2 linked regions of the Notamacropus eugenii genome follow. The protein of the gene in region 1 interacts with the protein of each later gene in a biochemical or structural test. Links are inferred from orthologs where the notes say so. Each region holds a gene or a part of one and is shown in the gene's direction. Other genes may lie near its edges.

Region 1 (15,771 bases):
AGTCTGGTACTCCATGAGTATTTGCAAAGAACTAGGGCTTTAAATGCTTAACTCCCTACCACTCCCTACTCAAAGCTGTTTGAGGAAGGTGCTTTGTAAAAACTTTTAAAATGCTAAATGAATACAAGCTATTATTATATGTAATAAATCTTAATCGCAGGGAAGGGTAGTCTACTACTGCAGAGCTAGTTCCTTAGTTTAGTTCTTGATTTCTAGTTAATGGATTCAGTCTGGCAATGCTTTAAGCATTTTGGTCCTTGTAGCATATACTTCCAACCCTTAAATCAGGGTACAGAAGCCTCCACGTTTAGCACAATATTGCTGCCCCCATGACACTCCCTAATCCCAAATCCCTTTGTACTACTCTCTGATTACAAGGAAGGGAGATCCTTCCTTCATCTTCTCCTTCCTCCCTTGACAAGGAATACCCTTCAGTTGCCTTCCTTGTCTCCCTTTTACTACCATCCTGCTACCTTTTGGAGAAATCTAGTCTCTAGACTTAGAAAATACCACTAACTTTTGAATTGTCCTTTCTGACCTAACCAGTTTGAAACAATTCTTTTAGCTGCTTGCAATGGCCAGCACTACCCTTAGCAGTGAAGGAGGCATTTGTGTCCCTTTTTCTCTAGAGATAATGTGGCCAAATCGCCTATGTTTGACTGATTTACGTGGCCTCCAGCACTAATATCTCTCTTACACTGCCCTATACTATTCAAATTCAAGGTCTAGTTGTGGCCTTCCCACCAAATTTTTGTTTCCAGTTCTCCCTGGCTGAATGGTAATACCTCTAATATCCTGGGACAAATAAACAAAAGGAAAATCTTTGCTTCTACTACTCTCCACTCCAGCTCTTTAAGTCACAGAAGAATGGCTCAGATTTAACTCTGGAGGATGGAAATAGAGTTGCTTTTGGTTTCACAATCACACACATACATACACACACACACTACACAGTATCAATCAGGTTAAGTTCAGAATACCACAGTTTCTTTCATTGTTTTTCCTTCAATCCTCCTCTTTAAGGCATATCTTCATTAGTGCCTCTAATGACAATCATTAGAAGCAATATTAAAAGATGTTTTAAAATTTTTTGATTCTCACAACAGAGAAACTTAATAGGCTGCAAAAAAATGAACAAGATCTTTGTTTAGCAAATATTTCTCATTAAAATGTCCAATTTTAACTCTCCCATGTGAAGAAAGTGATAAGCTCTCTAGGGAAGAAGCTAAATTAAAGGATATTGCATTTAGATTCTTCCATACTTACGTGAAATTCAGAAATCCTTCTGGAAAGGGGGCTTGCTCTGCTCAACAATTTCCTAGAGTTTACCAAAGAAGCTCTGTAGTTTTCTAACGTCTGGATAAAAACTGAGAAGCTGTATATTTCCTCTGACTAGATGTAGCAGATATTCTCTTTGGCTGGAATCATCAATAGTAGGTAGGAAGCTGATGAAGAGAATGACTGGAGCAAGTACACTGAACTTTACTGAATTCACTACAGAATAAAATGAAGGCAAAACAATATAAATCAACAAAAATATGAATCATGTCAAATCAACTGGCACTCTTCCCTGAATACGTTAAGGAGGGAATAAAAAGGTTTGGTTTTGAAGCTGAGGAGGAGAGCTATAACTATGAATAAAAGATACTGAAGGGAAAGGCCATTCACAAAGCAGAACCAATTTTTGTAACATAGGAGGTAGGTAGCAAAGATAGAGACAAAAGATAAAGAAAACTAGCAACACTACATGTAACACTGTTGATATTGTTCAAAGATGGACATGAAGATTTTCAACCTCTAAAACATTAAGTTCACTGAACCCACAGATTACTGTAGTTTATTATGATATCAATTGAAAACAAAGGATTCATAGGTGTGCCCTCTTTGGCTGTTCCTACAGTTTTTCCTTACAAGGCTCATTAGCCTGTTGGCAACTACTTATAGGATATGAAGCCAGGAGGCTCCCAATGCTTTTTCCTTGGTTCTCAGTTCTTTCACTACCCGTTAGAAACTTGAGCAATGTTAAATCTACTTACCTAGACTCATCTAAATCCATATGGCATACAAAGCTGCCATTTATTACTGAACTTCCCTCCTAAATGTCTTAGTACCACTTCAAATATAGAGAGGACAAGGCTACTAAATATATTCTTACTTGCATCACACTAGAAAGAGCCTTTCATAGACCTTTCAAGTGAGCAAAAGACCTTACGGTAATGACTGACTTCGTTGTACTTTACTATGCTCAGTTAGAACCAAAAAAATAGAGAACCACTGTCTTTCAATTACAAACTACTGAAAAGTAGGTACTAACTGGTTTTGTATGGTACTGAGCACAGAATTAGGAAGAGAATTAAAGATTTGGATGATGCTGATAATATAAATTATTTCGTTAGGTCCAATATTATCTGCATGTTGATGTGTACCAATCCTATTCCTTTCTTCCCACATTTATAGAAAGATGATAATGTACTGGAAAAAACAATGGGTTTGGAGTAAGGAAACTTGGGTTCAAGTCCTGGCTCTGTCATAAATGAGATGTGATTCTTGGCAAGTTACTTCACCTTTCTAAGGTTTAGTCTCTTCAGCTGTAAAATGAGAAAAGGATTGAGGTTGAGGTCAGTATCGAGGTTTGAAGCCTTGTTTGTCTGCTCCCTGTATGACAATAAGAAGGTCACTTCATTTTGATGTGCCTCAGTTTTCTCATCTATAAAATGAAGGGGTTAGACTGGCAATAACTCTTAAACTGAAATCTGTGAACTCTAAAAACATTCTGATAATATTTCAATGTAATTGTGTATGTATATTATGCATGTGTATTATATATACACGTTACATATGGTGTGTACATACACATGTGTATATATGTAGCAATACATTACATGCTTATATGCAGTGCATATATCATATATACATATGTCTATTACATATGTATATATATATGTATGTGTATATATATATGTATGTGTATATATATATACACACACATACTATTCTGAGACAAGGTACATAGGTATCACTAGACTACCAATGAAGTCTACGACACAAAAAATGTTAAGAACCTCTGGGCTAGATCATTTCTATGCTGTCTCTTCCAGAATTTTTACTTCCACTATATACCTCACAGGGCTGTTGTATCAAATGAGAAAAGGTATATCCTTTTTAAACTTTAAAGCGATGTAAATATAAGTTTTTATTATTACTTCCTTGTGCTGTTGATTAAGTTTCTTAATGCCAATATGGGCAGCTTATCTTACTAGATAGAGTGCTAGGCCTGGAGTCAGGAAGCCATATTCCTCAGTTCAAATTTGACCTCAGACATTTACTAGCTTTGTGACCCTGGGTAAGTCACCCATTTGCCTCAGTTTCCTCATACGTAAAATGAGCTGAAGAAGAAAATGGCAAATCATTCTAATATCTTTGCCAAGAAAATCTCAGAAAAAGTCACAAAGATTAAGACATGACTGAAAACGACTAAACAACAAACTACAACAAAATGTCACTATATTAATTGAGGATAAGTTCTTTTAAAACACAACTGATAACAGTGAACTAGGTTCACTGTTTTCAATCTCTTTCCCAAGAATACTAAAATTCTGCTGTCAATTTAAGCCAAATGAAATAGAGAACCATGTTGAAAATGGCTAAGAAATTGTCTTCAGGTGGGTATTCTTTGACTAGTGCAAAAAGGGTTTGAATTGTTGAATTCGTCTTTTATTAACATTCCAAATGCTACTGATTTAAGAGGCAGAATAAAATTTCTCCTCTTTCAGAAATACTTAAACCATTGATTTGATAGTTCCCATTTTTTCCCCTAAGAACATTATTACTTGAAAACTAAGGATTTACTTTACTATATGTTGCATTTGGACTTCAGTTTGTTCAGAAAATTGTTAGCATTTTTCAGAAATTGTATTTTAGCACAATGTTCCTATTTTAAAATCTGATTTCTCCCTTAAGTCACCACATTCATTCATCAACCCGTTGCTATTTGACTTTTGTCTCCATAATACTATTGAAACTGTGTTATTAAAGGTCACCAATTATATCCTTTAATGACAAATCCAATGGTTATTTTCTCAGGTGTCATCCTCCTAGAGAACTTGACTCCATTCAACTCCATCTCTTCCCCCACCCCTCAGTTCCTACAACAGCATTTCATTTTTCTAATTATTCTTATCTGATCTTTTTTCTATCTCCCTGACTGGCTTTTAGTCCATTCATAGAATTGCTCCCAAAGATTTTGTTCTAGGTTTTTCTTTTTTCTTCTCTCTTCTTCCATAATCTTATTCATTTTCATAGCTTCAACTACATCTCCCAAATCTAACTCTCTAGATCTGATCTCTCGTAGATTTGACCCACATTTCCTTTTGCGTACTGGACTCCTACAGTTGAACATCATCACGATATCTCAAACTCCAACACTTACAGACCTGAGCTTACTACTTTTCTCCTAAAAACCTACTCCTCCTTCTGACTTCCCAATTTCTATTAACAATATCACTACTGACCTGCACTCAAAACTTCAGGGTTACCTTAGGAAGTGAGACTGGAGGAAAACTCAATTAGTAGCTAAGTTTCTGTTAATTCCACCTCCACAAATTCTCTTTTCAATTCAGTTCAACAAGCATTTACTAAGAAGACTACTGTGTTCTAAGTGTTTGTGATAAAGACAAAAAATTTTAAAGTCCTTGCCTCCTTGACTATATTTTACTGGTAGAAAACAATGTTTATAGACAAGCAGATTGTGTGTGTGTGTGTGTGTGTGTGTGTGTGTGTGTATGTATGTATGTCCCAAATAAATATCACACAGGGAGGCAAAGCTCTAATAACAGGGGGAAATCAGGAAAGGACTCTCAAAGAAGGTGAAACTTGAGCTTAGGCTTGTAGAGTTTCCAAAGGGCGGAAATAAGGAAGAACAGAAATACAACTGAGGGGAACAACCTGGTTGGCAAAGACACAAAGATAGGGATGAAATATCATATAGGGAACATCAAGTAAGCCAATTTTCCTGGGATGTGGAGTGCATGTGAAGGAATAATACATAATCAGTGTGGAAAGATAAGCTACAGGGATTTAAAGTATTTTAAATGCTGAAAATTTAGAGGACTATGCATTTTTATCTTAGAGGCAATGTGAAACCAGTGAAGTTTTCTATGCAGGAGTGTCATGGTTAGATCTATGTTTCAGGAATATCAATTTGGTGGCTGGATAGAGAACAGAATGGGGAAAGAGGAAGCAGACAGTTTATCAGGAGGCTATTGTCAAAGGGATGATGACCACCTCAATTAAGATGGTTGTGGTGTGAGGTGTGAAGGGACAGATGCAAGGAATGTTGTGGAGAAAAAAACTTTCCACAAGATTTGGCAAATGATTGTCTATGAGGGGTGAGTGAGACTGAGGAGTTACTCTATTTTGCATTTGCTGCTTTACCTAGTTTCAAATCCAGGGAAGAAGCAACCTCTTCCAGGAGAAACTTCATTTCTAATCTCATCGCCATGCTGCTAACTCAAGCCTGGACTGACACTACCCCCCTCAGCTTCCTCTCCCTCCTGACAGGAGGACTAGAGGATGGATAACCTCATGAGAGAGGAGTCTCAGTGCCTTCCTTTATACAAGGCAGACTGGCCTCCCAACTCACTCCACTTTGCATCTGCTACTCTGCCTGGTTTCAACTCCAGGAAACAAGATATCCCTGGTGTGTTGTCCTTTCCTCCACTTTCCTGCCTCCCTTCGTGTGTTGTCTCCAACTATTAGACTGAAAATTCCTTGAGGGCAGAAACTGTCTTTCTTTTTACTCATTGTATCCCCAGCAGTTAGCCAGTGCCTAGCATATAAAAGCTTAATAAATGTTTCTTGGATTGGACTGAGATGTATAACATCAGAATTATAAATCTGAGAGATTGGAAGAATGTGATGCTCTTAAAAAAATAGGGAGCTTAGAAATAGCGGTAGACTTAGGTGGAAAGATAATGCATTTTGTTTTGGATAGCTGAACTTGTGAAGCCTCAGGGACAATAAGGTGGAGATGTCTGGCAGGTGGAGATACTGGCCTGGAATGAAGGAGAAAGATGAGGACTGGAAAAGTGATTGGGATGATAGTTGAACTAGAGAGCAGATGAGATCACCAATAGTGTGCAGGGAGAGAAGAGGGCCCAGGATGGAGCCCTGGGTGTATACTCATGCATAAAGGGTGGGACACCAGACTGACGGAAGAACTTGGAGAGAGCATTATCAAAGTCAGGGAAGAGAGAGTGGTGGCCAGTGTCAAATGATACAGAGATGTAAAACAGGATGAAGACTGAAAAAAGTCTGTTGGATTATGCAATAAATAATAGGATCTTGTAAGAAAGCGGTTTCAGTGAAGTATGAAAACGGATGGCAGGAGGTAAGTGGTGATGAGAAGTGATATGGGATGGGCATGAGAATGAACCAGTGAATTTGAAAAAGCATATATTAAGCTCCTACAATATACCAATATTATATAATGCTAGTCCCCAGGGAAACAAGCATTAAAGCAAAAACAGTTCCTGCCCTCAAAGAGCTGACATTCTCAGGGGATATTTGGTTCTGAAAGTTACAGAGATGCTAAGTGGAACCATAAGGGAGTAGAATGATATGCCTCTTTCAGAAACAACAGCACAGTTGGTTTGAAATTGGTTCATGATGCCTGAATACCTTACATTAAATTCAAGGCAGAAGATGGTAAAGACAAGATGTAAGGGGAGGCTTTCTATATCCATGGATGCCATGCATTACAACTCTCCCAGACTACTACAATGTTCTCCTAACACGTCTTCCCGTTTTTTTCCCCCAAAACTATTCTTTACACTGTTTATGCACAAATCTGGTGGATCTTCTCTGTTTGAAACTCTTTAAAGCCTCTATGAAAGTCTTTCTGGTTCTTTCAGGCTGTGTCCTTTATCTCTTTCTTAAAGACCAAGTCCAAGGGTACAGGCCAAGTGTATGGATCAATCACCTAATATGTGGTATTAAGGGGAGAAAGGGGATTCAAAAGGTCCAGGTGAAACCATGTTACCAAAATTCTAACCTCTTTAAGGAGACAGCAGGGATTTAGGATATCTATACCAAGGATATAGGTATATATACCTAGGATATTTGTCTACTTTCATACTGTTATAAGCCCTCTCATAAAATTAAAGGCTTCATGAAAGCAAGAAGCCTTTTATTGATCTATGTCATCCACCTAGGAACTGAATTATATAATATTTTGCACTAGAAATTCATTACTTAAATATATGGAGAGAATTCCACCATGGGTACTAAGACCCACAAGTGTAAGCTAATTTGCCATACTGTTATATCTCAAATCCCATGTAACAAAGGTTCCCATTGACTATACTCCCTATTACGAAATTGTTAAGATGTGATGAAAGGAACACTGGATTAAAAGTCAAAAGACCTAGGGTCATCTTGGTTTTGTTACTTACTATTTCCATGACCTTCAATTACTGAATCGCTCTCCAGGCCTCGATTTCCTCATTTGTAAAATGGTTTAGACATTATCAAAAGAACTTACAACTCTATTAAATGAGGCTCTCTCAAAACACTCCAAATATACAGTAATTTACTGGCTATCAAAACAAAGGTGTGTAATAAACAGGTAGGCAAAAATCCTGACCAGCGAGAGCGCTAATCAGCGCTGTAGAAAAAGCACTGGAACTGGAGTCACAGGACCTACCCACAAATTCCTGAAACATCTTGGCTACTTAGTATCTAGAAGGTACCGTGAAAGTCACACACCCTCTTCACTTTTCTCATCTGTAAGGACGAGGTGATCTCTAAGGTTCCTTCTAGTCCTAAATCCTCGGATGCTTTTGGTGTCCATTTTCGAGCGTTTTAACATTTGGACCAAACCGAACTGCACAGGACAAAAGGTGGACTTGGGACTAAAACCCAGGAATCATGGACTTATTAAATCGTATACAACTTAAAAGAAGCTGATACCACCAAGTGCAACACTCATTTCACGGCCAGGAACACTGAAGCCCGGGAATCCTAAATTAACTTGCTCAAGGTCACGCAGGCAAGAAACCCAGACCGCCTGACTGCCAGGAGGGTGGGTTTATCTCCTAACGTAATCTCATCCCACAGGATTTGGATTCACGTTTCCAAGTATTCTCAAAGATTTACTCAAGCTTTTGTGCTTTCCATAAAGGGTTAACGCCTAACACGACGCCCTCGGCATTTCCATCCAGAGGGGTTACCCTGGCCCTTTTCCGTTGTTTTCCCAAGTCTTTCAATCCCGCATTCCACTGGGGGGAAAGGTCACGGGCCGACAGCCTCGTACACACGGAAGCCCAGGCACGCGCAGACAGGCGGCGGCTCCGGAGCCACGAGAAAAAAGGAGCTCGAAGGGAGAAAACGGAGGGAAGGGAGGTGGGGGCGTGTAACGTGAGACACAACGAACTGGGAAATCCTCACTCCATCTGCCAACCCCTGGCACGGCAGGGCAGAGGAGGGCAGGGCACCGCCGAGCAGAGACTCATTAACAGGCAGCGAGCGCACACTGCAGCAAAGGGTGGGGGGAAGGGGAGGAGAGCGTGAATGGCGGGGGGAGGGAAGTGGGCGCGCAAAGAAGCAGAGCGCGGCGGCTCCGGCGGCGGCGCACGTACAAACAGCCGCACGGCCGGGGCCGCCCTTTTATAGGCCGAGCCCGAAGCCTCGCGCTCCCCCCGCCCCTCGCGCCGCCTCCGGGCCACGCGCAGGAGCCCCGAACATTACCTGGAGACTTGGTGCTAAATCCGTCCGATCTCCTCCGATCTCCTCCGCTCACCCCGCCCCGCCCCTCCCCTCCCCACCCCTCCCGCGCGCCGCGGCTCGGCGCCGCCCCTCCCCCTCCCCCTCCCTCTCCCTCCTCTCCCCTTCCCCCGGCTTCCTCCCCTACTCTGGATTCTCTTACCTTCTGAAAACGGGCGGAGGCGCCGGGCGCCCATCTCCGCCTCCACTGCAGGATACGAAATGGCGGTCTGAGAAAAAAAAAAAACCGCGAAATGCCGCAGCCTTTGCCAATCCCGCGTAACCGCTGAAACCGACCCAAACGCAGCCGCCCTTCCCCCAACTCCAAACACTTCTGCCCCGCAAGTGACTGAAAGGCGACCCCCTCCTTCGCCATCCATGACATCGGCGCTCCACCTCCCCTTCTCCCTCTCCTAGCCCGCACCCAGGTGACGGTACCCACATTACGAGTCATCGATTCTCCCGGGCCCCAGCTGGGGCTGGACCCGGCGCGTGCCGATCGGGGGCGGGGGGAGAAACACATTCTCTTTCTTTTCTTTCCCCCTCCCTCCCACCCTATCTTTTCCTTTCCCTCCCGGTGACCCCCCCCCCATTCCTCCTCTTCTTCCTAACCACACCCCCTCCCCCACCCTCTTTACACCCCCCCTTCTCCCCCCCCAGTGGTTGCGTCCGTGACATCATCATCATGGCAACAAGAGCTGCAGCCTGGGACGGAGAAGCCTGTGTGATCCCCGGAGGCGGCGGCAGCGGCAGTAGCAGCGGCAGCGACGAAAGCGTCGGGGTTTCTCTGGCCGTGCCCCCCGCGCGGCGCTCCTGAGGAGGCGGCAGCAGCAGCGCGGACCCCTAGCCCTGGGCCCCGCCGCCGCCGCCGCCGCCGCTCCTGCTCCTCCTCGCGGTGTCTGGGAGGGGTGAGGAGACGAGAGCGGAGATAGGGGCCGGCAGGCGAGGCGGGCGGGGAGGGGGCGCTGCTGCTGCTGCTGCTGCTGCGGGAACTGCTGCTGCTGTTCTGTGTGGCTGCTGAGGGAGAGGTGGCGGCGGCGGCGAACATGTTTTCAGTGCGGATAGTGACTGCCGATTACTACATGGCCAGCCCGCTGCAGGGGCTGGATATCTGCCAATCCCCCTTCACCCAGGACCCCGTCAAGAAGGTGCCGGTGGTGCGAGTCTTCGGAGCGACCCCCGCAGGTGAGCGCGACCGGGGGGAGGGGGCGGCCACTCCGGGGCACACACACGCACGCCGGCCGTGGCCACCGCCGCCGGCGTCTGCCTGGGCTTGTCTCTCACGCGTGACAGGGGGCGAGCTGTGGGCTCAGCGCAGATACCCCCCTCGCCCCCAGCCGAAAGGCAGAGGGAGGCGCAGAGAAGCGGTCTCCCTGAGTGTTTACACTGCGCCAGGCTGCCGGGAGCCGGAGGACAGACGCCGCACTCCCTGCCTCTCCTCTCAACATCCCCCTCCCCCTTTAAATGAGAACCGCCTTGCGGGGCTGGGATGGTCTTTGTGGGGCCTTCGTGGACCTGTTCGGAGTAGTCCCCCCTCCCCTCTAGTGCTGATCACCTGGTGGGAAGCACCACCATGTCTTGCTTCTCGTCTACTGCCTCTGTCTGGAAATAGCTTCACAAGAGGAGGAAGCGGTCATTTCTGTTGTCAAAATGTTACCACCATCACGCTGCCATCATGCTCCTTGTTCCCTTCCTTTCCTCTCGGAGATGCAGTAGGCAGTACATTGAGGGAGGTGCCCGGGGCCACACAGCTTTCCCATTGAAATGACCATGTGGCTTTCCGGTGGGAGCTGTGGATGATTCCTGAAGGATTTGTGGCGTTGACGCCTCCAGAGTCTGGGGACAAGATAGCACCCCACAGGTGCGGGGCTTGGAGTGAGGCTTGCATCTTTGGAAGCAGAAAATATTTGTTTCTGAAGGAAAAACGTACCATGTCATAGGTTTAATTTGTTAGGAACCACAATTCAACACAGATGTATAAACGTAGAAAATGCCATGTGCTGGGTGGCAGGATTGCCTTTTAGACAGACAGTACATCTTTAGATAAAAAGAGCTGCTTTAAGGCTATATTGCAGCAGATGAGGAGGGAGGGGGAAATGGAATGATCTTAGTTATGTTTTCAAAAGCTCCTGAGGTTCATGATCATTTGATTAGGATGTTGGCCAAACTTGAAAGGTGCTTTTTTAATCACTTCGCTTTTATTCTAACGTATTTGGAGTGGCCTACCTCCTTCCCTCCCTCAGAAATGGATGCCCTTACCTTTAGCTATGCGTTTTTGTCCCATGGGATTTTGAATTGTATTTCCCACTTGATGCTCCTTGCCCTTTTCACCATTCACCTTATTACTAGATTCCGTTTCCTATAAACTACCAACATATTACTATTTCCCTAAAGATAAAATTTCTTCCCAGGCATTTATCTTTTAGTGCAAATTCCCTTTGTTAAAATTATCTATGTTCATAGGAGCATTTCATTACAGTATCCAGTTGTTGAGGTTTTTTTAAAATAGAGATTAAAGGGGGTGTTGACACCTTTTAAGATAGAGCATTTCAATACTGTAGGGTTTTGTTACAAGAGTATTACTTGAAACTTTGAACATGTAGGGGAGGGCTGAGCAGATAAAGTGCTGGAAAAGATAGGTTTTCTGTCCTCTTTAATGTAAGGGATGCTGTCTTTGTTTCTAATTGAAATTTGTATTATCTCGTTTGTTCTCCAGGTGCAATGAAAAGGAGAGATCCTGCAATTGATGTATCTTTGTCAAATGATAAAACAGATGCTAGGCATCCAGTGTTATTTCTGCTTATAACTTTTACATTTTGTTACATTCTTTCCCTGCAGCTCATTTTGATTGCCCCCCTCCCAGTGTTATTGAACATTCCTGAGTGAATTTTCATACTCTGATAGGATGATTCATAAAGTAATTATAATTTTGTAACTATTTGTCCAAAAATGTATGGTCCTGAGTTTTTCCACAACTTGAATAGAAAATTTCAGCGGATGAAAGTTATTTTAATAAAACAACTATTATCTATAAAAAATAAGTAATTTATCCTACTTTTAAAGCATAATGAGAGAAATTTTTCCTTCAATAACTAACTTCATCTTCTGTTGTGTAGTTTTTCTCAGCTCAAGACACTCTCTCCTACTTTTTTTAAACAGGAAATTAATTTATAAAATTATTCATTGTTTGTAGACATGCACCTTTTAAGTGGGCTGAGTATTGGATTTGGAGTCACATGACTTGGGTTCAGTGCTAGTATAGCTACTTATTACCTTCAGCAAGTCACATCTCCTCTGGGACTCAGTTTCCTTACCTGTAAAAAGACAAGTATGAACACCTTCCAATTCCAGATCTAGGAACATACTAGTGACAAAATTATCTTTAAAAATTGCTTTTTTAAAATGAGTCATTTGACCATGTATGTGAGTGGTTAAAATTATAATTAATGATCAGCTTATATTACATAATATGCCATAAATAAGTATAACATTTAAGAATTAACTGCTAATGTACTCTTAAAGGCTTGATTTGGGTCTAGAGCTGGAAGGGACTTCAGAGGCCAACTGATGAGGAGATTAAGGCTCAAGGTGGTTAAATGATTTATTTGCCCAAGTTCATACAGGGAATAAGTGTCAGAGACAAATCAGTTATTGAACTTTTTCAGAGGAATAAATTGTTTTGATGTATTTTCCTAATGAGTGTTATTTTTGAATGAGTAGATTTTGAATAAATAAGTTATGCCAGTTTGTACTGTTGCATGGAAATGCTTTCTTTTCTAAAATATCTAGTTTGGTTTACTTTAAATTTGTTTGACTCTATTTAAATGTTCAGTGTGGATAACTTTTTAGAAATTAGGTGTCCTGAATTAAAAAATAGACTCTTCTTGTTACATTTCTTGAACAAATAAAATTTGGATAGTAATTGCTCAGTGAGGCTGTTGACTCCTAAAAAATCATTTTTATATTCTTGGTTTGAGTGGAAGTATTATTCAAGAATGATCTGCTGTGATTTTCTTTACATTAATGTTTTTCCCTAAGAGCTTTATTTTGTTATCTCACCTGTTTGACATTTATTAAGTACTGCCAACTGCTTCCTTTCTTCATTAGGAAGAGTAGTTTTGGACAGTGTTTACAAGTTGGAGATAGTATTTTTGTATTTTTTAAATACAGAAGTGTTTGTTTACTCTGGGAATTTAAGTAATAAAACGCATGGTGATGGAAAGAGACTTCAACTTGTAGTCTGAGGACTTGGGTTCTAGCCCCTAACCAGCCCACAAGTTAGATTGATATGAGCTTCTGTTTCCTGATCGTGTAAAATTAAGTTCTTGGACCAGGTAGTTAATTTCTCAGATCCCTTCTACCTACAAAACTCTTTGACATAGCATTGTGAAGCCACTTGGACTTGGAAAACTGTTCATTTCCCATATCCTGACTTTTTTTAGTCTTTTGGCTTAATTCAGGCCTTGGGAAAACTGACTTCTTAACACCAAGCTAAAAAGAACTGTCTCCTTTAGGAAAGGCCTTTGAACTTGAGATGCAAATAAGAACCAACAGAAGGTGTGAAGTCCACAAAGTAAGGATTGTAAGTACAGTAGGCCAAACTGTAAATAGAAGAAGCCCTTTCTTAGGGGAAGTATCTTTCTTCATTCTCTGAAAGTTTATTGAAGTGGAAATAATTATTACATATGGAATCTAATGACCTGTGTTCCAATTCAGCTCTGCAGTTACATAGAATTCCTATGACCTTCATCTCTCTGAGTTTCACTTTCCTCATCTCTAAATTGAAGGTGTTAGACTAGAAAAGGGATCTTTATAGGTCTCTTTCTACCTCCAGGGTCTTTGATTATTGTAGTATAATGAAGTATAGTATTGTTGATTCTGTGAACAACATAAATCAGATTTGCTAGAGCTGATTCAATTCAGCAAACATTTTAAGCAAATTATTTTGTCCAAGACTGAGTTCTGGGGATACAAAGACAAAACACTCCTTCCCCTTAGGGAATTTACGTTCTTACTTTGTACTGGGGGATACAGTAGTGTATACCATTAAATAAATGCAAAACAGTATAATTAATTTCTAGGGGGAAGAGTATGCTAATTATGGGGGAGGGGGAATAGGACGGGAGACCAGGTCAAATAAAGGTCTCTTCTACCAGATGACTGACATTTAAGTCATGCTTTGAAGAAAACTAATTTTTTTGTAAGATGGAGGTGAGGAAGGCATTCCAGACTTGAGGAACCACTTATGTAAAGGCAAGAGTGGTAAAAGATGACATATCATGTTTGGAAACATCTAGGAGACTAGTTAGACTATATTTGAGGATACAGGAAAGGGACTATATGAAATAAAAATGGAAGGGGAGATGGGAGGAAGATTGTGGTGGATTTTAAATGCCAGGCTGAAAATTTTGTATTTTATTTTAGAAAGAAGTAGGGAGCCATTGAAGATTTTCATCTTGAGATAAGGGATATGTCATTATGTGGTCAATTAGGTTTTGTGAGTAGCAGTTTGGCAGGAATGTGAAAGATGTATTGGAGAGGGGAGGAAATGAAAGTAGGGAGACCTTTTAGACTATTGTAGTGGTCTAGGTCAGAACTGAAGAAGGCCTACATTAAAATAGAAAGAAGTCACAATACCATGCTAAATGGGTCTATTCCTAATATATATGATTGGAGAGAGAAGGACAAATGAGAGATGTGGTGAAGATAGAATTTACAAGACTTGGCAACACATTTGATATGGACCTTGAAAGAGGGAGAAGAATAAAGGATAAAATCCAAGATTGCATTCCCAGAGTTGCACCCATCTACCTATGTAGATATAGTCTTTTATTCATGTAGGCTAATAAATTTAGAGATATTTTAATCCAAATTGCTTATTTCACGGATGACAAAACAGAGGTTAAGTGACTTGCCTAAAGTCACACAGCTAGTATCAGAACCAGGATTTGAATTAAATCAATTAACAAATATTTATTTAAGTGCTTACTATATGTATAAATTCAAAAGTAAAATAATACCTGCCCACAAAGTGCGTACATTCTGTCCAGTGAGACAACACATACAGGGAAAAGAATATACAAAACAGATATAAGATGATTGGGGTGGGGCTGCATTTAGGGTGACCAAAAAAGACTTTTGTGTAGAAGGTGATACTTGAGCTAAGACTTGAAAGAAATTGAAAGTTTTAAGAGAGAAGTAGTTAGGGGGGGAGTAGGGAAGATAGTGCATTACAGACATGGAGGACAATCAGCTCCAAAATAAGAAGAAATACCTTGTATTAAAAAGGGTAAGAAGATCAGATTGAGAGGAGAGTTGGATTTTGAAGAGGATTAGTATATAATAAGGTACGAATATTTGTTGGTACCAGGTTATAAAGGGCTTTGAATGACAAATAGAGGAGTTTGTATTTCATCTTAGAGGTAATGGGGAGCCACAAGAGTTTATTGAATAGGCATCGACATGGTCAGATTTGTGCTTTAGCTAAATTGCTTTGGAGTTAAGTTGAAGTTGATTGACATGGAGAGAGGCAGGGAGATAATTGGAAGGTTATTGTAGTAGTTCAATCAAGAAGTGATGAAGGTCTAAACTGAGGTGATAGCTACATGAATGGAGTCAGATTTGAAAGGTCTTATGAAGGTGGAAATGACACGATTTTGTAATTTGAGTATGTGGGGGGGTAAGGAGCTGATATTGATACTCTGGAAGAATAATGGCGCTTTTAAAATTATTAGAGAATTTTGGAAGAGGGATGTGTTTTTATTGACAAAGATAGTGAATTTTATTTTGGACATAGTGTGAGGCACATGTGAAACATCCAATACCAGTTGTCTACTTATTCATTCTCATCCATTTCATCACTAGTCTGTTAGTGTGCTACTCCAGATCTGCATGTCCCTTGTACTGTGCCCTCTGCAGTGTTGGCTCCATAATGAACAGACTTCCTTTTGTTTTAAACTTCCTCTTTCACTCCTTTTATCTTTTAGCACTCACTGATACCTGTCTCCCTTC
Region 2 (16,491 bases), on another chromosome or scaffold:
GAGCATTCTAATTGCCCCTAGCACCAATCTGCCCTCTCTTCTATCATCCCTCCCTTCCTTTGTCCCCATCTTCTCTTTTGTCCTGTAGGGCCAGATAACTTTCTATATCCCATGACCTGTATTTCTTATTTCCTAGTAGCAAGAACAGTACTCGACAGTTGTTCCTAAAACTTTGAGTTCCAGCTTCTCTTCATCCCTCCCTCCCCACCCATTCCCTTTGGGAAGGCAAGCAATTCAATATAGGCCATATCTGTGTAGTTTTGCAAATGACTTCCAAAATAGTCATGTTGTGTAAGACTAACTATGTTTCCCTCCATCCTATCCTGCCCCCCATTGCTTCTATTCTCTCTTTTGATCCTGTCCCTCCTCAAGAGTGTTGACTACACATTGCTCCCTCCTCCCATTGCTCTCCTTTCCAACCTCCCCGCCACCCTGCTTATCCCCTTCTCCCCCACTTTCCTGTATTGTAAGATAGGTTTTCATACCAAAATGAGTGTGCATTTTATTCCTTCCTTTACTCGAATGTGATGAGAGTAAACTTCATGTTTTTCTCTGACCTCCCCTCTTCTTCCCTCCACTAAATAGTCTTTTGCTTGCATCTTTTATGAGAGATAATTTGCCCCATACCATTTCTCCCTTTCTCCTCCCAATATATTTCTCTCACTGCTTAATTTCATTTTTTTAAGATATGATCCCATCCTATTCAATTCACTCTGTGCTCTCTGTCTCTATGTATGTGTGCATGTATGTATGTGTGTGTGTGTGTGTGTGTGTGTGTGTGTGTGTAATCCCACCAACTACCCAGATACTGAAAAGTTTCAAGAGTTACAAATATTATCTTTCCATGTAGGAATGTGAACAGTTCAACTTTAGTAAGTCCTTTATGACTTCTCTTTGCTGTTTACCTTTTCATACTTCTCTTCATTCTTGTGTTTGAAAGTCACATTTTCTGTTCAGCTGTGGTCTTCTCATCAAGAATGCTTGAAAGTCCTCTATTTCATTGAAAGACCATTTTTTCTCCTGAAGTATTATACTCAGTTTTGCTGGGTAGGTGATTCTTGGTTTTAGTCCTAGTTCCTTTGACTTCTGGAATATCCTATTCCACGCCCTTCAATTCCTTAATGTAGAAGTTGCTAGATCTTATGTTATCCTGATTGTATTTCCACGGTACTTGAATTGTTTCTTTCTAGCTGCTTGCAATATTTTCTCCTTGATCAGGGAACTCTGGAATTTGGCCACAATGTTCCTAGGAGTTTCTCTTTTTGGATCTCTTTCAGGTGGTGATCAGTGGATTCCTTGAATACTTATTTTGACCTCTGGTTCTAGAATCTCAGGGCAGTTTTCCTTGATAATTTCATGAAAGATGATGTCTAGGCTCTTTTTTTGATCATGGCTTTCAGGCAGGCCCATAATTTTTAAATTGTTTCTCCTGGATCTATTTTCCAGGTCAGTTGTTTTTCCAATGAGAATTTCACATTGTCTTCCATTTTTTCATTCTTTTGGTTTTGTTTTGCAATTTCTTGGTTTCTCATAAAGTCATTAGCCTCCATCTGTTCCATTCAAATTTTGAAAGAACTATTTTCTTCAGTGAGTTTTTGAACCTCCTTTTCCATTTGGCTAATTCTGCTTTTGAAAGCATTCTTCTCCTCATTGGCTTTTTGAACCTCTTTTGCCAATTGAGTTAGCCTATTTTTCAAGGTGTTATTTTCTTCAGCATTTTTTTAGGTCTCCTTTAGCAAGGTATTAACCTGCTTTTCATGCTTTTCTTGCATCTATCTCATTTCTCTTCCCAGTTTTTCCTCCACCTCTCTAACTTGATTTTCAAAATCCTTTTTGAGCTCTTCCATGGCCTGAGCCCATTGAATATTTATTTTGGATGTTTGGGATATAGAAGCCTTGACTTCTATGTCTTTCCCTGATGGTAAGCATTGTTCTTCCTCATCAGAAAGGATGGCAGGAGATATCTGTTCACCAAGAAAGTACCGTTCTATGGTCTTATTTTTTTCCCCTTTTCTGGGCATTTTCCCAGCCAGTTACTTGACTTCTGAGTTTCCTTTCCACACCCACCTCACCTCCAGATCCACCCAGCTAGTGCTTGGGGGCTGAGATTCAAATGCTGCTTCCCAGCCTCAGGGTTTTCAGCAGGGGCAAGGCTGGTATTCAGTGTGAGATTAAGTTCAGGTGCTTGGGTTGGGGCAGAGCCACCCCACTGGCTTAGTTCCCTCAGGGGATTTATGTGGAGACCTTCAACAATGGATCCAGGCTCCTGCCTGCTTTGGGAGCCCCTGTCTACTGCTGCCTCCACTGCTGCCTCCCGAGGGGCCTGAGTTATGGGGGCACCCCACTCCCCTCTCAGGGAGCTGAAAAGATCCTCTCACTGACCTTTGGTGCTTGTGGGTGGAGGGACCTGCGCTGCTGCTTGAGATTCTGTCCCTGAAGCCTGCTCAGATCTGCTCCCCTCAGTGCCACGGGGCCAAGGCAGGGCTGGGCTCTGCTCTGGTGTTCAACGGACCTTTGGTGTCAGTTTTTCAGGTCTCTCTGGAACAGAGATCTCCTCCATTCCATTGTTCTGTGGCTTCTGCTGCTCCAGAATTTGTTGGGAGTTCTTCTTTACAGATATTTTATGGGCTGTGGGTTAGGAGCTAGCATATGTGTATCTTTCTAGTCCACCATCTTGGCTCCTCCCTCACATATAGACTTTTTTGAAATGGAAATTTATTGTTGTATATTTTGAATCCTCTCAAGTTCTGCTGTGCAGATGGCAACGCTTTTTTTATCTTTTCTTATTTTGTATTATTTTAGTTCTACTATTTAAGTTTCTATTTTTCTTTCTGTATCTAAGTTTAAAATTTTTTAAAATTTACAAAAATAAAAAAATGAGGATTGATTCAGGGGGCAGAGCCAAGATGATGGAATTAAGTGAGATTTTTGTTTAGCTCTCCTTACATACTCCTCTAAATAACTTTTAAAAGACTGTCAAACCAAATTGTGAGTAGGATAAACAACAAGTCACAGTGAGTCATTTTTCCAGTCGAGGGCAGCTTAGGTAGAGAGAAAGAGGGGTCTACAGGTACTGGGGAAGAGGCTAGTGGGGAGTATGACAAAAGTAGGGTGTAGCAGAAGTGATCCTGAACTAGCTGTGGCCCTTGGAAGTCACAGCAGTAGCAGCTCTGGTGGCACTGGGAGCACCCAGCCTAAAGGGCTGGCAAGGTGACTGAACACCTGATCAGAAAGAGATTCCAGGGGATCCCTATGTTAACACTGGGTACAGGATCAGGCACCATTTGACAACCACTCCAGTGCCTTTAACAAGAAAATCCCAGATGAAGAGTTGTACATAGCTAAACAAAACAATGATCGGGGTTAGATAATAAATGTTTGAATATTTAAACAAAAATATTAGGGGTGGGGGGTGACATTTAATGATACAGAAGACCTTCAAGCATTCCTGATGAAAAGACGAGAGCTGAATAGAAATGTGACATTCAAAAGCAAGACTCAAGGGAAGCATGAAAAGGAAAACACAAGTGAGAAATCACAAGGGCCTTACACAACAGGGAAGTAGGAGGGGAACAGCTAAGAGAAAGGGGGGTGGCTAAGAGGGATAATGAATTAAGGAAGGCAGTGGTCAGAAACCAAGGGCCACTGATTCAATCACCCAATAGACTAGCATTTATTAAGCACCTACAATGTCCCAGGAAAAATCCTAGGCTTTGGGGATACGAAGAATGAAACAATCCCTACTCCCAATGAGTTTATAGCAATGGAGAGAAGAAGCATTCCAAATTACTTAGAATGTAGACCTACAAAAATCAACAAGTATTTATTAAGCACTGACTACATGCCAGATCCTAAACTAGGTGCTGGGGATATAAAAAAGATGATGAAACATTTCCTGAGTTTAAGGAGAATTCTATTAGAGAGGAGATAAATGTTCATGGATAAGGAAATATAATGTATAACAAGTAGTCTGGACTCATTCCCTATCAGGCCTCTAAGTATACTACTGAGGAGACTGGTCAGAAGAGGAGGAGGTCTTTCTCTAATGCTGTCCCTTTGAGCCCCCATTCTAGTGCTTTCCTTCTATTATTTGCCACCAGTAAATAGTACTCCAGTTCCGTTTAACTAATTGACATCAATTAGATTTTTACAAAGGATATGAACTTTGAAGATACAACAATCCCAGAAGCACAAACATTTCTTCTCTAAAACCTTGGAGACACTTTCCCCTCTGTCAGCTCAGTCTCTGTGGAGAGCAGATTATTTGTGCATGTTCTAATTCTCTACAAGGCATTTCCATAATTCATCAGCATAAATCAGATTCCCCAGACTCTTCCACGTGGGGGAACTGCATCAGCTAGGTATTCTGGCATACTGACAAAGACTGCTCTCATTAGCCAGTCTTCTCTTGTACATACCATGTTCTCCTGGCCCGAAGGAGGCTCTCAGTGAGAGAGTACCAGTCCCCCCTTTTAAGTAACTACACAAAATAAATATGCTGTGATGGTGGAGGATGGAGGTAGATTGCAACTGGAGGATCAGGAAGTAAAAGATGGAGGTATTTGATGGGAGCCTTGAATGAAACTAGTTGCTCCAGGAGGCAGATGTGAGGAAGGAAAGGATTCTAGGCATGGGGGACAGCTAGCTGAAAGCAGAGGAGGGAAATGATGGCATGTCCTATACAAGGGAGAACAAGTGGGCCATCCTGGGTTGAGTGCAGAATGTTTGAAGGGGAGGGATGTGTAATCAGGCTAGGAAAAGAGACTGGAGCCAGACTATGAGGGCTTTAAATCCTCCAGAGAGCAGGCAATGAGGATTTTTTGTGAAGTAAAGTGATGTAATCAGACCTATACTCTTGGAATTTGAATCGGGTGGCTTTATAGAGACAGATTGGAGAAGAGGGAGCCTAGAATCAGGAAGAATATTTGGGGGACTCATGCAATACAAGAAGAGATAAGGACCTGGACTAGGGTAATCGTGGTGTGAATGAGAGAGAACAGGATGGATGGGAGAGATGTCAGGGAAATGGAATCAAGACCTGGCAACTGATCAGACAGGGAGGAAGGCAAGAGGTGAATGAGAATGAAGAATCAAGGATGACTCATGGTTCGATAACCTGGTGGTGCTCTTCACAGAAATAGGGAAGTTTGGAAAAGGAGGAGTGTGGGAAGGAAAGATAATGGATTTTGTTTTGGACATGTTGCCTTTGAGAGGCCTACAGTCCATCCAGGTGAACATAGATGCAAGCAGCTGGAAATGCTGGACTGGATCCCAGAAGAGATTCAAGGGCTGGATATGTAGATTTGGAAATTATCAGCATAGAAATAATTGAATCCATGGGAAGTGATGAGATCACTAAAGAAAAGATGAATGTTTGTGATAGCGCCTTAGGGCACACCCTCTTTCCTAGGGTGAAGGAGGTTTAGAGTAGAAAGAGACCTCAGAAGCCATCTAGTCCAAAATATGAGGAGATTAAGGCCCAAAGAGGTTAAATGGATTGTCCAGAACCACACAGGTGATACGTGACAGAGGCAAGATTTTAAACAAGATCCAGTCAATCAGTCAAAATGAAGCACTTCCTGTGAGCTAGGCCATGTTCAAAGATACAAAGGAAGACAAGAACAGTCCTGCCTTTAAGAAGTCCACGTTCTGCTATGGGACACAAGACGTAAATAACTAGGCCCATACACGACATATGCAGAGTAGACAGAAGGTAATCTTAGCCCAGGAAAGGCCTCCTAGCATAGTTCTTGAAGACAGTCCTGGAAACCAAGAGACAGAGCATGGGGGCCAGCCAGAGCAGAAACGTTCAAGGAAGTGTCACGTTCATGGGAGGTGATGGTAGCTGAAGTGTCTGGAAGGGCCTGAAATATACGAAGGCCTTGAAGGGAGGAAGGGGACAAGTGTGAAGGGCTTTCAAAGGCAAACCAAGAAAGCATTTGATCAGCTCCTTTAGGATTTTATTCTAAGGGGGTGTGAGCTCTTTTGTTATTCACACCAGACAAGAATCAGCCTGAGACACCCTTAAACCCTATCTGTCTCTCAGCTTCTCTAGACTGTGTTTGTGAGCTTCTACTTCCAAACTCATTGAGTTGTCTGATCTGAGAAGCATAAGGAAACTTGGTTCAGCTCCAGGTCACTCCCCTCAAGTCAATCTCGGTCCATACAATTCCCACTAGGGTGAATCTGAGTGTCTGAGGAGAGCTGACGATCTGTGTCCCTCCCACTAACAAAAATTCTCCCCTTCCCAGTGGGTCTGTGATGCAAGGAGGAACATAAGCACCTGTATTCTGATGGAGTAACTCAGGAGGCTGCCCATCCAACCACATATTGTGCAACATGCGTTTTTCTTCCACACTCCTTGTTTGGTGAGGATAATTAAATGACTGGATTTCACTGAGGATACTTCATAGTGTTTTGGGATTTGATAGAATTAGTACAATATCTGTACAAGGCCTTTTTCTAATACATCACTGGCACATCTTGGGTCAACACCAGAGGCACAAAAGCTTTCATTCACTCTACCAAACTACAGAGGCTTTGGATACAAGAGGTAGAGGGTTCAAATTCCATCCTTGAAACTGTTTATGTAACTGGAGAAGTCCCTCTTCCATTCCGGACCTAATTCCTCATCTGTAAGATGAGGTGTTTGGACTGGATGGCTATTAAGGGCCCCCCTAGCTCTAAATCTATGATCCTACGAGTATGAGTCAGAGGACTGACAGCATCTACTCAAGACTCAACTCAAATCCCATCTTATGACATACACACTAAGTACATCAGAAGATAGAGGGCCAGGCAATGGTATTTTCCATGACAGAGAACCAGGACACTGAAGAACATATCTGTATTTCTTAGAAGGGGCAGGGTGTTTGAGGACACTGGGGGGTAGGGGAGGAGAAGAGGAATATTATAAATTATTTTATTAAAAACTTTGAACTGTATGAATTCATAACTTCCTAGGTCTCTGTTTTTCATCACTATTAGAAGTTAGCAGAACTATCTAAAATGAATGCATTTTTAAAACTAGAAATAATAGAATGAACATTGGACTGTTAGGAGCTCCGTATTGCTTCCTCTTCTGTAAAACCGAGAGGGAGGGGAGAATTGTGAAGGGGGAGGGAGTGTCAGAGATCCATGACTAAGAACCTCCAAAGTGCTTTCCACCTCTAAGAACCAAGTTTCCAAACTCTTAGGATGAGAATTTTAATGATGCCTGTTTCATAGCTAAACAGTGCCATCTTCTGGCCAATTGGTTTAATGTCCAGAAAGATTTCTGTTAAACCAAAATCCCCCTATATTGGGGGGGTCCCACTTGTCCACAGAATGAAAATCCTATTTAAAATCAGTTCTTTTTTAAGCCAAAATTTCAAGAATGAAAGACTTCTTCAATATTTTCAAACAGCACAGCAATATGCATGAGGTTAGGTTGCACTGTAGTGGATAAAGAGCCAGGTCTAGAGTCAGAAAGACTGCTCTTCCTGAGTTCAAATCCGGCCTCAGACACTGACTAGTTGTGTGACCCTGGGTAAGTCATTTAACCCTGTTTGCCTCAGTTTTCTCATCTGTAAAATAAGTTGGAGAAGAAAATGTTAAGCCACTCCCAAATCTTTGCCAAGAAAACCCTCCAAAGGGGTCATGGAGAGTCTGACATGACTGAAATGACTGATCAGAGACTAGCTTTTATGACCATCTGCTGACTGAGCTAAAACAAATTACCTAACCTCTCTGGACATTCTTTAAATGAGAGTGCTGGAATAGTGGCTATTATTGTCATCATTATTAGCATTATTCTGGGCTATACAGAACTAGGCGATGCAGTGCACAGAGCACTGGCCACGGAGTTAGGAGAACCTGAGTTCAAATCGAGTCTCAGACACTCACTAGCTGTGTGACCCTGGGCACTTACCCCAATAGCCTCAAAAATATTAGTATTATTCATTTTAACAAATAATAAATAGAATAATTATGTAGTATGTGATATAATAAATATTAATTTTTGGCATTTATAGAGCACTTTAAGGTTCACCAAGCACTTTGTAATCTCATTCAATCCGCAAAATAAATCTAGGAGGTATGTTATTATTATCTCCATTTTACAGGTAAGGAAACTTAGGTAAAGAGAAGTTAAGTGACTTTCCAAGGGTCACACAGCTAGTAAACGTCTGAAGTGGAATTTGAGTTGAAGTCTTCCTGGCTGCAGGTCCAGTGCTCTGTCCACTGTGCTAAAAGTCAACTTTTGGACTCTGGCAATTAATTTGTTATGTTGAAAAAGCTTTACATTTTATAGCACATAACCACATAAGTTTATTTTAAAAAAAAAAGTTACTTCATTTTACTTAATCCTTACCAAGTTGCCTTTTTTTATGGTTGCTGGCCTCCTGGGACATTTGCTTCTCCTTCCATCTTAGGTGAGTCTGGTAAACCACTCTAGAGTAATTGGAGAAATTCCACCCAGCTGCTCCCAAAAAGATTCGGTGAATTGAAGACTTAATTCTAGAGACTTTAGAACACCTTGTCAATTTGGCTCAGAGACACCTTTCCCAGGTCTCAAAGGAAAGAAAAGATAGTCAAGTTTGTCATCGTTGCCATATCTGAGTGGTGTCAGTAGGGTTTCTGACTCTGGATGGAGACATTCAGAGTGGGGGAAACTGCCCCTCTGGTCTCCTCCATATACTCTGGGATCTGGTGACACTGACCTCCTCGCTGTCCCCATCTGGACTCAGGAGCATTTCTCTGGCTGTCCCTCCTCATCTTTGCCCCTCTACAGGAAGCCTTTCCTGGTCCTCATTAAGGTTACTTTGTTTCCTTTGAGATTACCTCTCATTTACCATGTATATATCTTATCTGCATATAGTTTGCATTCTGTCTCCTCCGTTGCTCGGTGAGCCTAGAGAAGATGGGGGGTTGTTGGGGAGGTGGCTGGTGAAGGGAGAGTGTATTCAAGTACATTTTGTAGAAGAGCTGCTGTGGAGGGGCAGCTGAGTATCACTGGATAGGGATGGGGCCATAGACCTCCGGTCAGACATATGGTTATATTGGTAGCTCTTCATTCTATACTCAGCCATCTCCAGTCCACTTAGCTCTTGTCTTGTCACCAGACTCTGATAACTCTGGAGGACAGATGAGGTTGATGACTTTGCACCCCCATTCACTGAAGGTCAAGACCTCACCCTCCTGATGTCATCGTCTTCTTTCAAGAACATGTGATGAACAACAACTTTAATAAGCAGCTGGTGTGTTTGAAAAGGGAGATGACTTGGGCTCAGCTGTCCTAAATTCAAATTCTGCCTCAACCATTTACTTACTCCAGGGGTGACTTCGGGCAAATCTTTTCAACTTTCGGCTCCTGTTTCATCCTGTAGAAAAAACACGTGATCTCCAAGGTCCCTTCTTGCTCTAATTCCTATGAGATGTTTACTATTAGAATAATAAGACTTTGGAAAATATATTTTGGAATATAATATTGGAATAATAGTAATCCTTTGGAAAAGGTCAAGGTCTTTGGCATGAAACGGTCAGTTCATTAGTCACCTAGGCAATGGGTCATAAAGAAAGGCAAAAAACAACCAGTCCCTGAGGTCAGGGCGCTCCCAGGCCGCCGTCGCCGTGGAGATACTTCACTCAAGTGCACAGAACGGATTTCCTTTTAAAGTCCTTTCCAGGTAAACTGCGCAAACTGTCAGCGGAGCCAGGACGCGGCTGGTTTGTGCATGACCCATGGGCAGCCGCCAGGTGGCGCCGCAGCGCACGGAGCGCCCGCCGAGAGGCAGGCCTCGGCTTCCCGCAGTCAGACGTGACGTCAGACTTTCCCCAGCTGTGTGGCCCTGTCTGACTTAGTTTCCCCATCTGTCCAAGGGCCGGGGAAGGAAATTCCCCCCCCCCAGGATGTGTGCCCAGCTTCTCCTCGCGCGTCCCGGGCCGCAGCCCGCCCTTCAAACAGCGGGCGCCCCAGACTCGGATCCAGGCCGGGGCCTCCTCGCCCGCGCGCTCGCGGAGCCCCGACCTCAGTTTCCGAATCTGTGCCGGGGCCGGGGAAGTGGGCGGGACCTGCTTTCCGCGACTCCACTCCCGCCCCCCCATGCTGCTAGCAGGAGTGCGCCTGCGCGGCGTAATGCGCTAGAGGCGGGGTGGAGCTCGTGGGGAGAGGCCGCGCCTGCGCCGAGGGACAACGGCTTCCTTCTGCCCGCAACAGGACGCCGGAGGTGAAAGAGAGGCGGGAAGCGGCAGAACGCCTCGTTGCGCCTGCGCAATGGTAAGGGCCGAGGAGGAAGGCGAGAGCCCAGGCCCCGGTGGCGCTTGCGCAGAGCGGGACGCTCGCGGCGGACCAGAGTGCGCGTGCGTCGAGGCCAGCCCCGCCCCGCTCGGCCGAGGCGCGCGCTGCGGGGATCCCGGCGCGGCTGTTTTTGAACGTGGCCGCGGGGCTGTTGTGAAGGGAGCTCGCGCTCCTGCAGCTGCTCGGTGACCGCGACCATGGAGCGGCAGCTCACCCGGGACCAGGGCATCACCCTGCGCGGCAGCGCCGACATCGTCGCCGAGTTCTTCTGTGAGTGCCTCCCTCCCCCCTTCCCTGGGAGCCCCCGCTGCCTCAGTGTCCCCGCCTGTCAGCGACCTCTAGGCCCCCGCGCCCTCGTGGTCCAGTCGTTTGAGCCCCCGCCGACGCCGGGCCCCCTTGGGTTTATCTGGGCAGAGACGCCGGGGCGGTCGGCCGTGTCCTTCTCCAGCTCTCTTTACAGATGAGCGAACCGAGGCCAACGGCGTTAAATGACCCCCCCCCAGGGTCGCCCCGCTGGGAAGTGCTTGAGGCCGAATCTGAACTTGGGGCCTCCTGACTCCATTCAGCCGCCCGCCCCTCTTACACGCGGGGAAACTGAGGCTCAGGACGGGGCCTTAGGACCCGAGGCCCGCGGGCGTGTCCGGGCCGCTGAAGACCGCTCTGGTGACAGCTGATCATTGCCCGTTGTATCCGATGGTGAGGAATGTCTCATCTCGGGGGCTGCCCTTCCTTGCAACTGTATCAATGTGGGAGGAAGAGGGACTCGCTACTGTATCTAGTCTGGCCCTGTCTAGCCCTCTCCCTGGCACGTGAGGGGAAGGGGCTGGGCCAGGTAAGAGCTTTGATGTCCTCCCTGCTAACGAGCAGCCTGGAGAGGCTCCTCATAGGTTGGTGTCTGATCTTTAGTGAACTTAAGATCTGTAAATGCCAGGTTTTATAGGTGGATGGTAATGGTAAGTATTTGCTATTTCTATTTTCATATAGTGGCTGTTTCAGCACTGTACTGAAATGTAACCTTGGGAAAATTCATATATTTTTATGGCCTTACCTCTAGATGATTATTCCAGCCATAGATGTTTACTGACCATAAAAACTAGAATATTTTCTGCAGGGAAAAATCAAAGTAGGGTGTTTGTGTGCACATATATGTTGCATTTATGTGTGTATACATATGTTGCATTTACTATAGAACTTTATTCTTAGCTATGGGTTTCCTTTCTTTTCTACCAATTTGGACTGAAGTTGAAGCATTTTGTGATCTTTAAAAAAAACACTTTCCTATTCTTTTCGCTTTCAGCATTTGGCATCAACAGTATCTTATATCAGCGTGGTATATACCCATCTGAAACTTTTACTCGGGTGCAGAAATATGGGCTGACTTTGCTTGTCACAACAGATCCTGATCTCATAAAATACTTGAATAACGTGGTGGACCAACTAAAAGGTATTTGAGCTGAAATATATGTTTTTTCCTATTTCCAGACCTTGCCAAACCAAATGTAGGAGAATCTAGATTGTTAGCCTAAAAATCAACATTCTGTACTGCTGGTCTTTATCATATCATTTGAAATAGATTTTGATGTCAGAAAGGAATTGTGTGTCTAGTTAGTCAAGAAATGTTTGTTAAGTGTCTCCTATGTGCTGGGGCTGTATTGTACTAAGCACTGGGGAGCCAAATAAAGACAAATAAAGATAAGCCCTCTGTTCTCAGAGGGCTCCCAGTGTAATGGAAGATGAACAGCAACTATGTACAAGCCAGCTGTAGTGTTGATTATCTGAATTAAAATTGATTATCTGAAATAAAAAGGAAACTGAGGACAAAATTACTGAGCCGTCTATGATTTAATCTGCAAAGCTAGCATTGTGTATTAAGCCAGGTTACCAGACTCCTTAGAGGTCAGAGACAAGGAATGATTAACAGAGATGATTTTTATAACCAAAAAGAGGAAAAATGACAAACTTGTTTTGAACATAATTCCTTTGGACAAGTCAGGTCACCTCTAGTTAGCTTCTCTCAGACTTTCTCCATCCTCTGCCAGATGTCCTTTCCTCCAGGTAGTACCTCTTATAATCAGAAAGTGTATTAGGAAAGAGGAACTTGTGGTCAGTGGTTACCACCCCTACCTCCAGTGTTCCTTAGCAGAGTCCATTACTCTTGGAAGATGCTCTAGCCAAAGAAAAGGGGGCTTATCTTAACCTCTGGATAACCTTCTTCCAGATGCCAGAAAAGGGAACTTGGCTTCAGTCAGCCTCACCCCCTAGACTTTTGAAAAACCTTATAATCATGATTATTTTCTTCTTCCAAAGTATCTGCTACTCATTGATAAAGTATTCTCATTCAATGTATTCGCTAAATCTATAGGTAATATAGACTCAGAAGACTATTTCAGTCTGGCTTAGTTCTTCCTAAAGAAGAGCTGTAATCGAACTAAAACGTAATCAAAAGAAATTTAGAAAATTGTAAAAGTAAAAACGTAATCAAAAAGAGCTGATTTCTTTTTCAATAGACAGGATAAATTGGAAAAAAGCCACAGAGGGAATGCACTAGAATGAAGAGGGATTGGGAAAGGCTTTCTATAGAAAGTAGGATTTCTAGCAGGGACTCAGAAGAGGTCAGAGAGTGGAAAGGAGGAGGCAAAGAATTCTGTGCATGTCGGACAGCCACTGGACAGTCCTGGAGTCTGGGGACATGGGAGTGCCTTGGGGGATGAGCAAGGAGGTCATTGTTGCTGAATAGTAGGAAGCCTGCTGGGGAAGGGCGGTGTCAGGTACAAGAAGACACGGGGAGCAGAAACAGGATTTTAGTATTGATCCTGGAAGAGTTAGGGAGCCACTGAAGTGTACTGAACTGTGCTTTAGAAAGACAGCTTTACCTTCTGACTTGAGGCAGACAGACATTTCTCCAGCGGCCATTGCAGTGATCCAGGTGTGCAGTGAAAGGAGAGAAGGAGGCATATATGAGAGATGCTGTAGGGGAGCATAGGCAGGCCTTGGCACCAGTTTGGATGGGGGGTGAGGGAAGGTAGAGCAAGGATCCAGGTGGACCCCTGGGTTATGACGCAAGGCACCAGGGGGATGGAGATGCCCTCGACAGCCAGAGGGATCATGTTTACAACTGACACAATTGTAACAAGCATTGGGGCGGTTAGGCAGCACAGTGAGTAGAGCTGGACTTGGAGACAAGACTCGTGTGAATAGTGCCTCGGACAAGTGACCCTGGGCATGTCGCTTAATTTCTGCCAGCCATCTGTAAAGTAAAGGTAATAAAATAGCAACTCTTTCACAAAGCTCTAATTAGTGAACTCATAAAAGTGCTGTATAAATGCCAACTGTTAGTACTCACTGGGATATAGTTTTATTTTCCAGCTTCAGGATTTTGTAGCCATGATTACTGAGGGGTCGAGGAAATTAAAAATAGAAAATTCCCCAAGCCCCCAGATTGATGTGGGGTGTTGTATTGTTGGCAGCAGACAAAAACAGACGGTTTCTCATGTTGCATGCAGACTGGCTGTACAATTGTTCAGTTCAGAAATTGGTGGTGGTGATTTCGAATATTGAAAGTGGCGAGGTCCTTGAACGATGGCAGTTTGATATTGAGTGTGACAAGACTGCCAAAGAAGACAGGTGAGCGTGCACTTACTTATTTTTAAATTCATTTTTCCCCAATAAATATTTCAGTTCTAATTCTCTAATGGAAAACCTACGCAGGCAATGACATTTGAGTTTGTTCGATCATTTTGTGCCAATCTCTTTTTTGAGATGTGGTCTCCTTTTGCCCAAATCCCAATACTGCTTAGCACAGGTTAGGCCTAACCTTAGTGCAGGTTGTCTCTTAGCGCCCCCTGCTGGACGCTCTCCATCCCTGTGCTCTACTTGGTGTGAAAACCTATTGCAGCAACAGAGCTCCCAGACTCAAACAATCCAGCATCCTCAGTCTCCATGCAACCCCCAAGCCCATTGGGCTGCTTTATGCTAGTCTTACAACTCCATGGTAAATACTCCTTCAATGACTTTTTAATTGAATTTTATTTCCTGTAAAATGTTAAGGTTAATTACTGAATTTTAATAGTTATTGTTACATAGTCAATTGTATGCAGCATTTTTAGGAAATAAAATCCATACATGTGTTTTGCAAATAGAAATGAGGCTGAGTAATGGAGGGGAGGGTCTACCCTCTAGGCCCCTGGACCCAGCACAAATGCAAACCTAAAAGCAGAAATCAAGCTCATGCCACAATTAGGAACAGAGGTGCGTGACTAAGTCTGAAAAATATAAATGAATAAGGTGCTGGATTTGGGAGATGGTCGTGAGGACCATCTTCGTACATTTTAGGAGGTAATGACTTGAATTTTTGTTTAGTCGTTTTTACAGTTTTGTCCAGCTCTTCATGACCCCATTTGGGATTTTCTTGGCTGAGATACTGGAGTTTTTTTGCTATTTCCTTCTCCAGCTTATTTTACAGATGAGGAAACTGAGGCAAACAGGGTGAAATGACTTACCTGGATTACGCAGCTGGGAAGTGTCTGAGGCCTGACTAGAACTGAGGAAGATGGTTCTTCCTGCCTCCAGACCTGGAGCTTTGTCCACTACTCCATCTAGCTGTCCCAATGACTTGACTCTAAATTTCTTTTAATAAAATTGAAGTCAAATTGTTACCTTTTTCATTTTTCATCCTTGTGTCCTAGAACCCAACACATTAACTTGTATATAACACTTGTGTGTTGGGTAATACAAAATATTGTTTACATAAACTAAAATTATAATGTTGAACCTTAAGAAATGACTCCATTACAGCAAGTTTAGTCTCTTAACTGTAGAGTTTGAACTTGTGGGGGTGTGATGTCATGACTTTTTTGGGAAATAGGCTTGTTTTTTCTCAGGATTAACTATTAGGCTTAGCCTGTTTATTCCTATCAGATGTTTGCTTGACTTTATAATGATCTTAGAAAGTCGTTCCTAGTTTTCATTCATTCAACATCATGAAGTGATATGTTTTGTTTCCTTTGTAGTGCACCAAGAGAGAAATCGGTGAAATCTATCCAAGATGAAATCCGCTCAGTGATCCGCCAAATTACAGCCACCGTGACATTTCTGCCGTTGTTAGAAGCAGCTTGTAAGTATTTGGTAGAAGCCTTGTTGGCTCTGACCACACTTGATAATTCTGGAACTGGTTCTGCTGGAACCTTCTGCTGGACGTCAATAAGCCCTTGCGTGCGATTTGGGGAATTTTATAGCTTTGTGCTCATATGATTGTTTGACTAGTGACTGTGAAGCCTGTTAGCATGGTGACTGGAATCTCACTTATAAGAGGACTTGGGGAAGTCTTAGAACTAGTTAGTGAGGAGACCAGGTATTGAAACGAAGGCCTCCCAATTCTCCGTGGTTGGTTAAACAAACTCTGACTTCCATAAACATTCAAATAACTTTTTCCCCCATGTCAGTGAAAGTATTTTAGCTGACACACTTATTGAACTGCTATATTTTTGTCACAAATCATGGATGAAAGAATGGAACCTAAGGGACCAAACAGAAACAATGAAAAGATCCATTAAGTATAACAAGTTTAAGATTTGGAACCAGAACTCCTGGGTCCGAGTCAGATCCTGCCTTGACCTGTGAGATCCTTGGTCAAATCATTCAGTCTCTTGAGGCCTCAGTTTCTGAAAGTGATTTGAAAGTTTCTGAAAGGGATTTGAAAGTTTCTGAAAGGGATTTGATGAGATTTATTTGAAGTGTAAATGCTATGATCCTGGGAACTTAACTTGTCTGTCTCACGGTCTATTGATTTAGGGTTGGGTTTTTTGTTTTAAAACAATGTCATCATATATCATTGTTCTCTGCTGGTCAGTTTACTGATCTATTTACTAATGAAAAAGTTTCTTCATTTATAGAGAAACCTAGAAAATACCTCTTTTTAGAAATATTTTTAAATCTTCTTTTATTATTAAAATAACAACCATTTGTGTGTTCTGTTTTAATCTGTACTGATAGTGCCTGTAAGGCCTAGCTGGGACTGTTTTCTGCTTCTCATATAACCTCTCCAGTCTGGTTTCTTGTTACAGGTTCATGATCAAGGGTATGGTTACATTTCTAATCTTGTTAGTGTCAGGTTTAAGAAGTAGGTTTGAGATCCCTCTTGACCTGAGCTGTGTGTTAACAAACTAGAATGAATCCCGACTTAGCTGCTTCACAGAAAAGTTGAAAGAAGTATCTGC

Evidence for each region.
Region 2: the proteins of REV3L (region 1) and MAD2L1 form a complex in vitro, tested with the Homo sapiens proteins (2 studies listed by BioGRID). The link is inferred for Notamacropus eugenii from reciprocal best matches to the Homo sapiens genes REV3L and MAD2L1.

The regions. Positions count from the first base shown.
Region 1 is NC_092873.1:191,659,340-191,675,110, reverse strand, and holds the start of REV3L (DNA polymerase zeta catalytic subunit), read left to right. Parts: upstream 1-9,096; 5' UTR 9,097-9,188; intron 9,189-9,420; 5' UTR 9,421-9,806; coding exon 9,807-9,945; intron 9,946-15,771. UniProt on the Homo sapiens protein: Catalytic subunit of the DNA polymerase zeta complex, an error-prone polymerase specialized in translesion DNA synthesis (TLS). Lacks an intrinsic 3'-5' exonuclease activity and thus has no proofreading function.
Region 2 is NC_092878.1:164,426,913-164,443,403, forward strand, and holds the start of MAD2L1 (mitotic spindle assembly checkpoint protein MAD2A), read left to right. Parts: upstream 1-10,351; 5' UTR 10,352-10,473; coding exon 10,474-10,546; intron 10,547-11,573; coding exon 11,574-11,720; intron 11,721-13,743; coding exon 13,744-13,900; intron 13,901-15,285; coding exon 15,286-15,389; intron 15,390-16,491. UniProt on the Homo sapiens protein: Component of the spindle-assembly checkpoint that prevents the onset of anaphase until all chromosomes are properly aligned at the metaphase plate.